Cricetulus griseus: one gene and its partners. The protein of the gene in region 1 interacts with the protein of each later gene in a pairwise test. Links are inferred from orthologs where the notes say so. Each region holds a gene or a part of one and is shown in the gene's direction. Other genes may lie near its edges.

Evidence for each region.
Region 2: the proteins of Septin1 (region 1) and Aurkb interact in binary tests that used the Homo sapiens proteins (3 or more experiments, as listed by UniProt). The link is inferred for Cricetulus griseus from reciprocal best matches to the Homo sapiens genes SEPTIN1 and AURKB.
Region 3: the proteins of Septin1 (region 1) and Amot interact in binary tests that used the Homo sapiens proteins (3 or more experiments, as listed by UniProt). The two-hybrid records come from large-scale screens. The link is inferred for Cricetulus griseus from reciprocal best matches to the Homo sapiens genes SEPTIN1 and AMOT.

What each region holds. Positions count from the first base shown.
Region 1 is NC_048596.1:73,555,294-73,559,437, forward strand, and holds the start of Septin1 (septin-1), read left to right. Parts: upstream 1-1,342; 5' UTR 1,343-1,695; coding exon 1,696-1,698; intron 1,699-1,871; coding exon 1,872-1,962; intron 1,963-2,062; coding exon 2,063-2,149; intron 2,150-2,412; coding exon 2,413-2,536; intron 2,537-3,102; coding exon 3,103-3,237; intron 3,238-3,332; coding exon 3,333-3,450; intron 3,451-3,984; coding exon 3,985-4,086; intron 4,087-4,144. Other genes in the region: phosphatidylinositide phosphatase SAC2-like, read left to right, coding at 781-877. UniProt on the Homo sapiens protein: Filament-forming cytoskeletal GTPase. May play a role in cytokinesis.
Region 2 is NC_048600.1:82,925,183-82,928,944, forward strand, and holds the end of Aurkb (aurora kinase B), read left to right. Parts: coding exon 1-125; intron 126-2,020; coding exon 2,021-2,195; intron 2,196-2,597; coding exon 2,598-2,759; 3' UTR 2,760-3,255; downstream 3,256-3,762. UniProt on the Homo sapiens protein: Serine/threonine-protein kinase component of the chromosomal passenger complex (CPC), a complex that acts as a key regulator of mitosis.
Region 3 is NC_048604.1:35,432,137-35,436,443, forward strand, and holds the start of Amot (angiomotin), read left to right. Parts: upstream 1-1,502; 5' UTR 1,503-1,936; intron 1,937-4,307.

The sequences.
Region 1 (4,144 bases):
ATAATAAACTTATAGTCAATATGTCTGTCTCAATATTTCTCTTTTCTTCTTTTTAAACAAAAGAATAACACCAATCATCAGGAGGAGGCCGAAACTTGATGCAAACAGCAAGAGGCTTTAATAAAAGGTGGACGTTTGTACAAACGGGCTCTCTCAGCATGCAGGCTAGAGAGCAGCCCCGTCCCCCAGGCACAGGCGTTTTTAAAGGCAAAAACCATAAGCTTAGGGAGGGGCCTCGACTCTCTGTCCGTTGAATATGTGACCAGAGTCATGGGTTCCTAGGAAGCCCTTTGTCTTGAGGGGAGGCCTGGGAATCAGATAGCTTCCTGACCCACCAGTTGTAAAACCTGCAGACCTCAGGATGTGCTAACTAATGGTAGCTATCTCTTTGTTTCATAGGGACCCTTAATTGTTAATGATTGACACATTGGCCAGTGGGGCAATCCGTTTCCTTCATGAGCCCCTCGGGGAGGTTGGCCATCTGGGAATTCTTGGTACCCAGTTATCTTATGGCCTTGTAAGGGAGTAATTGCTGGTGGCTGGTAAATTCCAGGCACTAAGTCATAGTAGTAGCCTTGGTCAGTTTCTGGGCTATATTTCTTTCCTAACTTTTAAGTTTTTCAGCTGTCTTGTCTGGAACTCACACAGATCCACCTGCTAGAATGCATGCTGGGAAGATTTTATTTTAATTATATGTAGCTTGTTATATAGTACCTCAGCTTTGGAGTCAAAGCCAAACAAACATTTGCTTTTAACTCTCTTTTTATTCCCTTTCCCTAGTTATGATGATGAAGTTGATAAAGTAAACCAGTATCAACCGCTAAGCCTAGAAGACCTGGAAAAGATAGAAATAGGTAAACGCAAACACATTAACTAACTCACACAAAAGGATACACCAAGCCACCTGTGGTGATGGACTTCCCTTTTCTTCTTCAGGCTAGTGATGTGTATGGCTGCTTTCATATTGTGCCTTGTGAAGGTAACACCAGTGCAAAAAGCCTAAGCAGTTACTACTGAAGAAGTGTTCTCATGGCCTCATTAAGTCACATTTGTGACAGAACAGAGGGCAGAACAGGGGTGCCTTGTTAGGGCTGGAAGACATGTACAAGCATGAAATCTAATAATGAAACCCATGATCAATACATGCTATAAAAACTTTTTTTTTTTTTTTTAAATGAGGGCTGAGGTTGAGAGCACTGGCTGCTCTTCCAGAGGACCTGATTTCTATTCCCAGACACCACATGAGATCTGGCGCCCTCTTCTGGCCTGCAGGCACATATACATATGTCTATATCTCTTCACACACATATCTATATCTATATACATGGAGATAAGAAAAAAGATGCATTGGGACTGTAGGGGTAGCTCAATCAATGAGAGCATGCGCTGCTCTTACGGAGAACCTCAATTCACTTCCCATTATCTATGCCAGGCAGTTCACAACCACCTCTGACCCCCGGGTCCAGGCCGGTGACTCTGGCCTCCTCTCATATGCAACTATCCCCGATGCCCAAATAATTAAAAGTAAAATCTTTGAATTGAAAGAGAATGTAGCGTCTCTTTGAGCCGCGCAGCTTCCTGAACTGCCCCTCCAGCCCCTGCCTTCCCCACCCCGCTAGTCTTGATACATTCAACTTCCTGCCCCACCAGAGGAAGTGGGGAGCAACACCAGGTGCAGAGACGACCAGCAGAGCCATGGTGAGTTCTTGGGCCCAGGAATCTAGGCAACTGGGGCCCAGTCCTCTCCCCTGAGGGTCCCCAAATCAAAGTCAACCCATAGTAAGCTGACTTCCTAGCTTTGGGGCTCAGGTGGTACCGGGCACTCCTTGCCATGTCCAGGAGCCTCTTGCTATCTACATTTACACCCACAGGACAAAGAGTATGTGGGTTTTGCTGCCCTCCCCAATCAGCTGCACCGCAAGTCTGTCAAGAAGGGATTTGACTTCACACTCATGGTGGCAGGTCCGTGTGTTTTGGAGAGAGACTGGGGTGGGGGGTAGTGATGTACTCCGGGGATCCTGGCTGCCCTCTCATCTGACTAGTAGGCCTGACCCGTTCTCAGGGGAGTCAGGCCTCGGGAAATCCACCCTCATCAACAGCTTGTTCCTCACCAACCTCTACGAAGATCGGCAGGTGCCAGATGCCAGTGGTAAGATCTGCCCCCACCTTCACCCCTGCGGACTCCCCACCCTTGCTGCTGGTCTGTCTTCTCTCTTCCTGTGTGATGAGGCTACATACTTTCTTTCTGTCTGGGGACTTGGATGGTCACTGGTTTTCTCTGAGACTGTTTCCTCCCGTGAAATACACACTGAGGATGTGGGGTGGGGGTGGGGGTGGGGGATGAGATGCAGCTGCGTCGCTAGGAATGGGGTCCCCCTCAGAGCCTTCGCAGCAGCTTCTCTGTATCCACAGCGCGCACCACACAAACTCTGACCATTGAGCGCCGGGCTGTGGAGATCGAGGAGGGGGGAATCAAGGTGAAGCTGACCTTGGTGGACACCCCTGGCTTTGGGGACTCTGTGGACTGCTCAGACTGGTGAGGCGGGGGACAGATAAGAGCTAGGCTTCTCTTCCACTATGGAAGACCAGGGTTCATTTGTGAGCTAGTTTGCCATGGCTCCTTGACCTAAAGCCACCTGTTTCTAGAAGCAAACAATTTGGCCCAAAGGGTCCAGTGTTTCTTCCTCTGAGAAAAGGGTTCTCTCTGTAGCTCAGGGGCCTCAAATTCACCATGTAGCCCTAACTGGCTTCAAACTGGAAGTTCTTCTAGGATTGCAGACATATGCCATGACTGGTTCAGTGCTCCACTCCAACCCCCAGCTTTTGCAGATGGTGTCACATTAGCCCAGGCTGGCCTGGAACTCATTGTGTAGGCCATGCTGGCCCCAAATGTGGCAATCCTCCTGCCTCAGCTTCCTGAGTGCTGGGCTTATAGTGTGGAGCCACTTTGCTTCTGGAAGTCTAATCCCAAGCCCTTACCAGTTGCCCCTGATGGCTTTGGTTGGAATTAAAGAAATTACTTTCCACCCAACAGGCCTGGCTAGCTTCATTCTGTCCCCTGCCCTGTGATCTTAGACTATACATCTTCTCCCCACATGCCAGCTGGCTGCCTGTGGTCCGATTCATTGAGGAACAATTTGAGCAATACCTCAGGGATGAGAGTGGCCTCAACAGGAAGAACATCCAGGACTCCAGAGTCCACTGCTGCCTCTACTTCATCTCACCGTTTGGCAGAGGGTCTGGAGGGCACCCTGGGGGGGGGGCAAGTGACCGGGGTGGGGGAGTATAAACCTCTGCACTCAGGAGCTGAGCCTGATAAATCCCTGCTGCAGGCTTCGGCCCCTGGATGTGGCTTTCCTCCGGGCAGTACATGAAAAGGTCAACATTATCCCAGTCATCGCCAAAGCAGATGCCCTGATGCCTAGGGAGACTCAGGTCCTCAAGCAGAAGGTATGGGTGAGACCTGACCTTTAGCACTAAGTGAAAACAAAAGCTGTGACTTTTTTTTATCTTGGGGTGGCCTTTTCAGAGCAGGAGCTATTAGGCTAGACTAGGGGAGGGGAGTATAGGGGTGTATGAGCCTGTCACAAGCAGCCATGTCTCTAACAGCTCTGTACAGAATAAACTATACAACCTTGGAACTAGATGCTTGGCTAGGGACAGTCTGAGGAAAAAAGGGGTGGCCATCACAACTCCTGGCAACTTCTTGGTCCTGTGATAGTGATAACTCCCTGCCCGCTGTCTTTAAGAGTGCTTTCTCCTGTTCCACCTCCGGATATTTTGATGTCTGTCCTGACTTTCTGAATTCCTCCCCATTATGTCTCAGATGATTTGGTTTTGGTCATCTTGTGTGGCCACCTCTCACCATCTGTTGTTCACACCTTTCTTCCTCTCTGACTACCCAGTATCTCTCTGTCCCTCACTATCTCTGCCCTTGCCATGTCGGTTCGTCACACCTCAGTTTCTCCCTCTCTCCGCCCTGAGATCCGGGACCAGTTGAAGGAGGAGGAGATCAACATATACCAGTTCCCAGAATGTGACTCTGATGAGGATGAAGAATTCAAGAAGCAGAATGAAGAGATGAAGGTTTGAGAGGTGGACGTGGAAGGGGCAGGGAAGCACAGAGCGGAAGCGGAGGTGAATG
Region 2 (3,762 bases), on another chromosome or scaffold:
CTGATGTACTGCCACAAGAAGAAGGTGATTCACAGGGACATAAAACCTGAGAACCTGCTGTTAGGTCTCCAGGGCGAACTGAAGATTGCGGACTTTGGCTGGTCTGTGCATGCTCCCTCCCTGAGGTATGGTGGGGCTCGGGGGCTGTCCCTCGTGTGAGGCTGTGATATACAGCTCTTCTGCAAGTTGTTCCTTGAGATGGGGTTTGTCTCCATGCAATATAGATGTAGCAAAGTCTTTACAAAAATAGGTAACACAATAATTCATGCTCTAAATTTTCTACTCTTTCTATGAAATATAGTGGGCCCTCTCTTACCATATCATTGTGGAAACTCCCACATGATTGATTGATTGATTGATTGATTGATTGATTGATTGATTGAAACAGGGTCCTATGTAGCACAGAATGACTTCAAACTCACTATATAGCCAAAGATAACCTTAAATTTCTGATCACCCTCCAAACATAGCTGAGTTACAGGCAAGCATCACCATGTCAAGTTTACCCCTGCCGACCCTGTTCATTCTAAGGAGATACGGCCTCACCGAGTTCCCCGGGCTGTTTTTAAAGGCCCAGGTGCAAATGAGTATCTGGTATCACAGGCATACGCTGACATGCCTGGTTACCAAGGTCACATTTTATTTGATTTGGTTTGGTTTTAGTGTTGAGGATGGAACCCAGGGCATTGCCTATGTTAGGAAAATGCTCTTTCACTGAGCCACATCCCTCAGAACCGCTTCCCAGTTTTTTAACTGTTTGGTTTTTTTTGAGACAGCGTTTCTCTGAGTAGCCCTGGCTATACTGGAACTCACTTTGTAGACCAGGCTGGCGGCCTCAAACTCAAAGAGATCCACCCGCCTCTGCTTCTTCCTGAGTGCTGGGATTAAAGGTGTGCTTACTATTGCTTGGCCTCTTCTTTTTAATAATTTATGTGCATTGGTGTTTTGTCTGCATGCATGTCTGTGTGAGGGTGTCAGATCTTGGAGTTACAGATAATTGTAAGCTGCCATGTGGGTGCTGGGAATTGAACCTTGGTCCTGCAATCAGTGCTCTTAACCACCGACAAATCTCTCCAGACCTCCTCTTCACAGTTTTGTTTGTTTGTTTGTTTGGGCTTTTTTTTTTTTGGTTTTTTGAGACAGGGTTTCTCTGTGTAGCTTTGGAGCCTATCCTGGCACTCAAGCTGGAGACCACGCTGGCCTCGAACTCACAGAGATCCGCCTGCCTCTGCCTCCCAAGTGCTGGGATTAAAGGCATGCACCACCAACGCCCGGCTCTCTTTACAGTTTTTAGACAAGATTTTACCCTGTAGGCCTACCTGGCCTCAGACTGACAATTTACCTCAAATGTCCAATTAAGCCAGAGGTAGTGGCTTATTCCTTTCAGTCCAGCCCTAGTGAGGCAATGGAAGGTGGATCTCTCTGAGGTTAAGTCCAGTCTGGTCTACTTAGTGAGTTCCAGGCCAGCCAAGGCTGTATTATAGAGAGAACCTGTATCAATATTAACAAAACAAAAATCTTGCCAAGGATTGGGATTAGAGGTGTATATCACAGTATCTGGTGACCTGATCATTGTTTAACACTTCTTGGTATTGCACAGTAAAAATATAAACCGACTTATTTAAGTAGTGTATATTCGGTGGATATTAGAGATGTTTTCTGTTTCTTCTTTGAAATGAGCATTGCCCTCATCTCTGATTGTTTTTATTTATTTTTTACTTATTGAGATTAAGATAGCTGGGCGGTGGTGATGCACACCTTTAGTCCCAGCACTTGGGAGGCAGAGGCAGGCAGATCTCTGAGTTTGAGGCCAGCCTGATCTACAGAGTTAGTTCCAGGACAGTCTCCAGGACAGTCTCCAAAGCTATACACAAAGAAACTCTGTCTCAAAAAAACAAAAAATTAAGATAATCCATTAGTGTGGCCAGACCTTCCTGGGATCTCTGAGCTGCCTACTATCAAGTAAAGAGAAAAGAGAGGCTGATTTTTTCGAGGCCCTACCCACTTCTCATCCCATCAGGAGGAAGACCATGTGTGGCACCCTGGACTATCTGCCCCCAGAGATGATTGAGGGGCGCATGCATAACGAAATGGTAGACCTGTGGTGCATCGGGGTGCTCTGCTATGAACTGATGGTGGGGAACCCACCCTTTGAGAGCCCTAGCCACAGTGAGACATACCGTCGGATTGTCAAGGTAGGATACCTGCCTGGGCTCTGTGTGCTGTGGAAGCCAGGGTCTGGGGTGGGCAGGGTAGATTTATAGGGCTCTGCACAGTCTCCCTATTTCATGAGCAGTACTTATTCTCTGACAACTTCATACAAATGCACCTTGATCACCCACCCCGACTCCTTTCCCAACACATGCCCCACCCACCGTCATGTCCTTTTTCTTTTTATAGCCCCCTGAGACCAGCTAGTGCTGCCAGCAACCTACCTGTACCCACACTCCCAAAGGAAAATGACTTCCTTTCTTTCCCTCAGCAGCCATCCATTGTTAATAATGCCTCCTTTGGGGGTTGCAAAAATCTCTTGAGTTGTCAAGGAAAATGTAGTCAGGGTAACACAGGTGAAACCTTTCTCTTTTCTTCCTCTGCAGGTGGACCTGAAGTTCCCTCCTTCTGTACCTGAGGGGGCCCAGGACCTCATCTCCAAGCTGCTCAAGCATAAACCCTCAGATCGGCTGCCCCTGGCCCAGGTCGCAGCTCACCCTTGGGTGCGGGCCCACTCTAGGAGGGTACTGTCTCCCTCTGCCCTTTAGACTGCTTTCTTCATTTTTGTCTCTGTTGTTTGTATATTTGTGTATGTGTTGGGGGGAGGGAGGGTTGCTCACAACCATCCCCAAATCCCGTTCTAAGGAATCTGACCTGTCTTCTGACCTCCACAGGCAAAACCATGCACACATGTGGTGCACATATGTGCAGACAAAACATATATAAAACAACAACAAAAAAAACACAGTACTGGAGAGATGGCTGAGCAGGGCTGTTTTTCCAGAGAACCAGGAGTTCAGTTCACAGTATACCACATGGTGCTTACAACCATCCGTAGCACTAGGCATGGATGTGGCACACATATACACAGTCAGAATTTTAAGGAGCCATAGAGTCTGATTTCTTTCAATTTGCCAAATGTTTTAAAATACCGTAAGTCAAAAATGCATTAATCCGTGAAACATGTTTAGTCTAGCCTATCTTAAAATTCAGAAAAATTATGTAGCACAAAGTATATTTTATAATAAAGTCTTAAATATTTCATGTTTTTGAATACTGTTTTGAGAGTAAAAAGTAGTGGTTATACTTTGGTAACATTATGAAGCCAAAAACCCCAAGTTAGCTTGGCATGTTGGTCCATGCACTCAGGGGGCTGAGTCAGGAGAATCACCATAAGTCTGGGACATCTTGGACTACAAATCACGTTCCAGGACACACAGTGATGCAAGTAAAACCTTTGCCTGCTCATGGGACTCTCTTCCTCCTGTTGGGCTGCTGTGTCCAACTTAAATTTGAAAGTTTTGCATAAGGGGACAGAGGAAGCTAGGGAGGAGTGGGGTGAATAGAACAAAGCATTATGGGGCTGGACTCAGCACTTAAGAACTCAGATTTGGTTCCAAAGAACTCAGGTTAGGCAAATTCACAACCATGGGATCTGACCTTTTTGTGGCTGTACACATGCACATGAATTTAAAAAAGTGTAATGGTATACATGTTTGAAAATGCCACAATTAAGTCTATTTCTTTATTATATTCTAATAAATTGTAATT
Region 3 (4,307 bases), on another chromosome or scaffold:
AGAAATGCTTGAAACAGATGAGTTATAGCTCCAGCATGTGTGTCGTGTAAGTGTGGAGTGGTTCAGAGAGTTTTCACATACATTTCATTTTATTTTAACATCTGTCCCACTAAGAACCCAGCACATGCCTTACAGCATTTTCTTACAGATAAGAAATGTTAAAGTCCGTTGAAAGTCACACAGCTAGGTAATGTGTGCCAGAGCCCACAGTGAATTCCTCCTTTAGTTCTACTTCCTTGTTTTTCTGCTCCCACTTTACTGCTTCTTTGTGTTTTCTTTTACCCAGATGTTAAATTGTAGGTTCCAACCCCTCCACGATGCTGTACTCAATTCCCCATGTACTTGAGCAATATGATTTTTTTTCACAGCCAGAAAATGTGAGCACCACACTGACACTCCATGTACTTTTTCTTTCCTGATTTAATGAATTGAGAGGGAAAAATTACGTATTCCCGGAGAGTTGTACAGTGCTTTAAATATAAAGTTATATCCCAGTTGGCAAACACACTGTCGCACCCTTTCACAAGACTGAGAAGTCAACCGTCTCATCTATCCATTCTAAGCAGAGGCTCGGGAAGCACAGAGAGCTAGACAATGGTCTCTTGTTTGGTTTTATTAATTTTGAGGGCGGGTGCGATCAAAGTATCGGACTGGCGACTGAAAGGACCAATCGTAGGTCAATAGCAGGCATAACTGGCCAATGAATAGATGCAAAAGAATGTTGGGTGGAACCTATTCAAGGCCCGCTCTGCCAAGGCAAGCACTCCCAGCCTTTCCAAGAGGCGGAGCTTCCTCCAAGCCCCGCCCATCCCCTGGTGCCCTAGTGGCCTGCCTCTAGGAAGAGGCAAGGACCCTGGTCGAGATTTGGGGCAGGAGGCAGGGGAAGGTGTAAGAAGGTTGAGGCTGGGGGTGGGGTGGTTGGGGGTGGGGATAGGGTGGTGGAAGAGAGGGATCTTGCTGACTTTGCACTGAGTAGGCTGCCAGTTGGTCAAAGGAAACAAGGTCCGCGGGGGGTTTGAAGGAGAGGGGCTCCTTCCTGAATTTTGTGAAGCTGGTTTTGGCTGATGCTGCTTTTTCTACATTGCTACATTTTTTTCTTCCTCCCGGGATGAGGCGGAAGCTGTGCTGACTTCTCCCACGCTACTCTGCTGCGCTGTTGCCGTAGATTATTAAAGTCTTTGAAAATAAAAACACCCCCCCCCAAAAAAAAACATTCGTGCCTCTCTTTTTCTCGCTTTAATTCCTGCAAAGCACTATCGGAACTACCGTCCAGCGCGTGGGAGGAGGAGGGCCAGCGAGTTATCCCAGCTCTCTCCTTGATTCCCAAGCTTAGCCGATCAATTGTTTAAAAGTTCCCCGCCCAAAGTCCGCCTCTCCTCCTGGGGCGCCGCCTCCTCCCCTTTGCCCGCCAGGGTCCTGCTGGCCTCCCTCCCGCCTCCCGCCCTGCTGGCCCCGCCCTCGGCCCTGCCCATTCCATCTTCCACCCCCCTCCTTCTGGGCGGTCCTAGCTGCTCACCGCCAGAAGAAAAGGCACCCGTTCCTCCCCCTCTTCTACCTCCCATCCTTCGCTCAGGAGCTGCCTTCATCGCAGTCACGCCCCTTCCTTCCGAGGAGCTTTCGGGCTGCGTTCGCTGGTAGACCCCTGAGTTACTCCTCCATCTCCGTTCTCTTTCCTCTCTTCTCTTAGTTCTCATCGCCTTCCCCCACCACCACCACCTCCAGCCGATCTCGCCTCCCACTATCCGCTGCTCCACCCTCCGGCCCGGTATCCTGCCTGCCTGTCCACTGCCACCAAGGAGAGACCCAAGGGAGCAGCGAGGTGGGGAGTAGCCGGGACCTGCGGCTTCCTCCCTACCCATCCCTGGCCTCTGGCCCGGGACCGAAGCCACTTGAGCCAGCGGAGAGAGTCGTCACCTTGTCTTCATTGCCTTCGGGGGTAGGAGAAACGTCGTTACTTTTTGCGGGGAACTGGGGCAATAGTCTGTGGTGTTGAGAACTTGATCATGCCCTTATTTGTGAGTAGGTTGTTATATGTGCCTGTGGGGATTGCCTGTATGTTCTACATTCTTTGCTGTTGGCCTTGGGTTTTTTAAGATATGCAAGAAGTTTCAAACAGTTTAAAAGTATGGACTCCTCTCCTACTTTCAAGGAGGAGATGCTGAAAGGTACCACTCCTGGTGTTCCTTTATTTCCTCCCTGAGTTCTTGCAGGTCCCCCACTGAATTTATCACTTAAGGAACTAAAGACCTTAACTAAGTTAGGGACTTTTAGGTCTGTCTAGCTTTAGTCCTGCCTGAAGGTTTGCCCTTATCTCAGATAGCGAGACGGCTTTCATCTAAGTGCTTAGGCTTGGGTTGGGAGCTCACCCTCCCTGACCCCAGGGCCATGAATTCTTCAAGTTTTAAAATGTGGAAGTAATGCACCACACAGCTACTAGATTTATGCACGCATGTATAGCTGTGTGTGATGGTGGTGGAGGTGAGGTTCAGGAGGCAGAGACTGCCGTTATTTGCTTCATAAGAGCCGAAGATCTTAATAAGTAGTTTTGCAAGATCACGCAAGTGTTTGTTTTAGGGTCCGAGCCTTGGCTTCTTTAGTTCATCAACAGCAAGACTATCCTCATAGATAGGTGAAAATGAGGAGAAGGGAAAGAAAGAGGGAAAACGGCAGCTTTTATAGACTGCGAGCGATCCCTGATGATTGCCGCTAATAAATAATGTGCTAATAATTTGCAGCAACAGATTGAATAGAAATTAATGAAAGGTGAACGGGACAGATTTGAGAAAGCCCTTTCTGTTATTATCTCTTGCCTCCATGAAGAGTAGATGTCAGACAGTTTAAAACTATGAATATAAACTTTTCCTCCTACGTAGAAAGAATTAAACACGTAATCTTTAGTGGTGAAGGGCTAAGGCTGTGAAGTCTTGGGTTTGACCATGGGAAACGTTCTTCTTCAGGCCAGCTTTTGTGAAGCCTCCTCAGACCTTTCAGTACCCTCATTCAGTAGCTAAGAATAGTCAGAAATGCCATTTTGGACAGGGGGTAAATTGTCCACCTATCACCTACCTCTCTTAGGTTGGGCAAGTGCCACAAGCTTATGAGACTGGTTGTGTTGAAAGACTTGATACTGAGATCTTCCCAATCTATTGCTTATTCTTTAGGGGAGAAATCACTCACATATATTAAACGAATTTTCTTTAGTTGATTTTAACTGGGGTGAGGGTGGGGGCTGAAAAGTTAAGAAGGTAGAGAAGGGATGTTACAAAGTTACATGGTGACAATTTTAAAGGCTATCATGTTTCAGATCAGCTGGGAGGGAAAGGCTGGCCTAGGACATTTTAATAGCCAGGTGGTTGTAGAGTAGTTACATCTATTTACAGATGATAACTCAGGTTCCAACTATTCTGTATGGGTTTGCCTGGTGTCATTTACAGGCAATTTCTGGCTCTACATCATACTTCATTTTAAGTTACTTCTTTCTTTGGAAAAGTTTGTGTCTCTGTAAAATTGAAAGTTTTTTTTTCTTCTAATTCACAGCCTAGGTGCAAAGTTAACCCGTAACTCCACCTGTATGTACAGTAAGTTTTACATGGACTTCCTAAATGCCTTTACTGGAGGAAAAATAGTTTAGAAAGAGATTTTAGCAATTCACATTTGACATTGAGATTTGGACCTTAAAGTGTAATTATTTTTTCATCGATAAAGTAAGATTTATTAGACTAATGAATAACGGAGGCATTTTCTAAGGTTGATTTTCCTCCATCCTATATTTGTATAGAATGAAGCAGACTCTGGAATGCTAATAGGAAGACAGAGGGATGGATACTTTGACTTTGACGTCCCATTGAGAGCCAGCATTCTAAGTGGGTACATCTGCTTCTGGGCCTCTCCTAAGAGCTCTCTCCCAGGGCCTGTGCCTTCTTTAAAAGGGTGTCTTTGTAATTAAGCAGCCCTTCCCCCCAACTCCCTCCTTCTTTTGATCCAGTTTTTTAGGCTTATTTTCCATTTGGAGACGAAGAGTTTCTCACACCCTCCTGCTCCCCTCTTAACATTTCTTTTCCTTTATCCCAGAAAAGCCCAGCCCAACACCAAGTTCTCAGGATGGTTTTCAGTCTGTTGTGTTTGGGACGGAGGGAGGGTTCCCAGTGAGGAGGAGTAGAGGATATATTCCCTCTTGGGAAATGCTTGTGGCCAGGTAGCCTCCTCCATGGAGACTGAGCTTTTGGAATGCATGAGAACGGTCTATTCTTCAGGACTGTCTGGTAGAAATTGTCCTTTGCACCCATTAAGCCCAGCTTAAACCCACT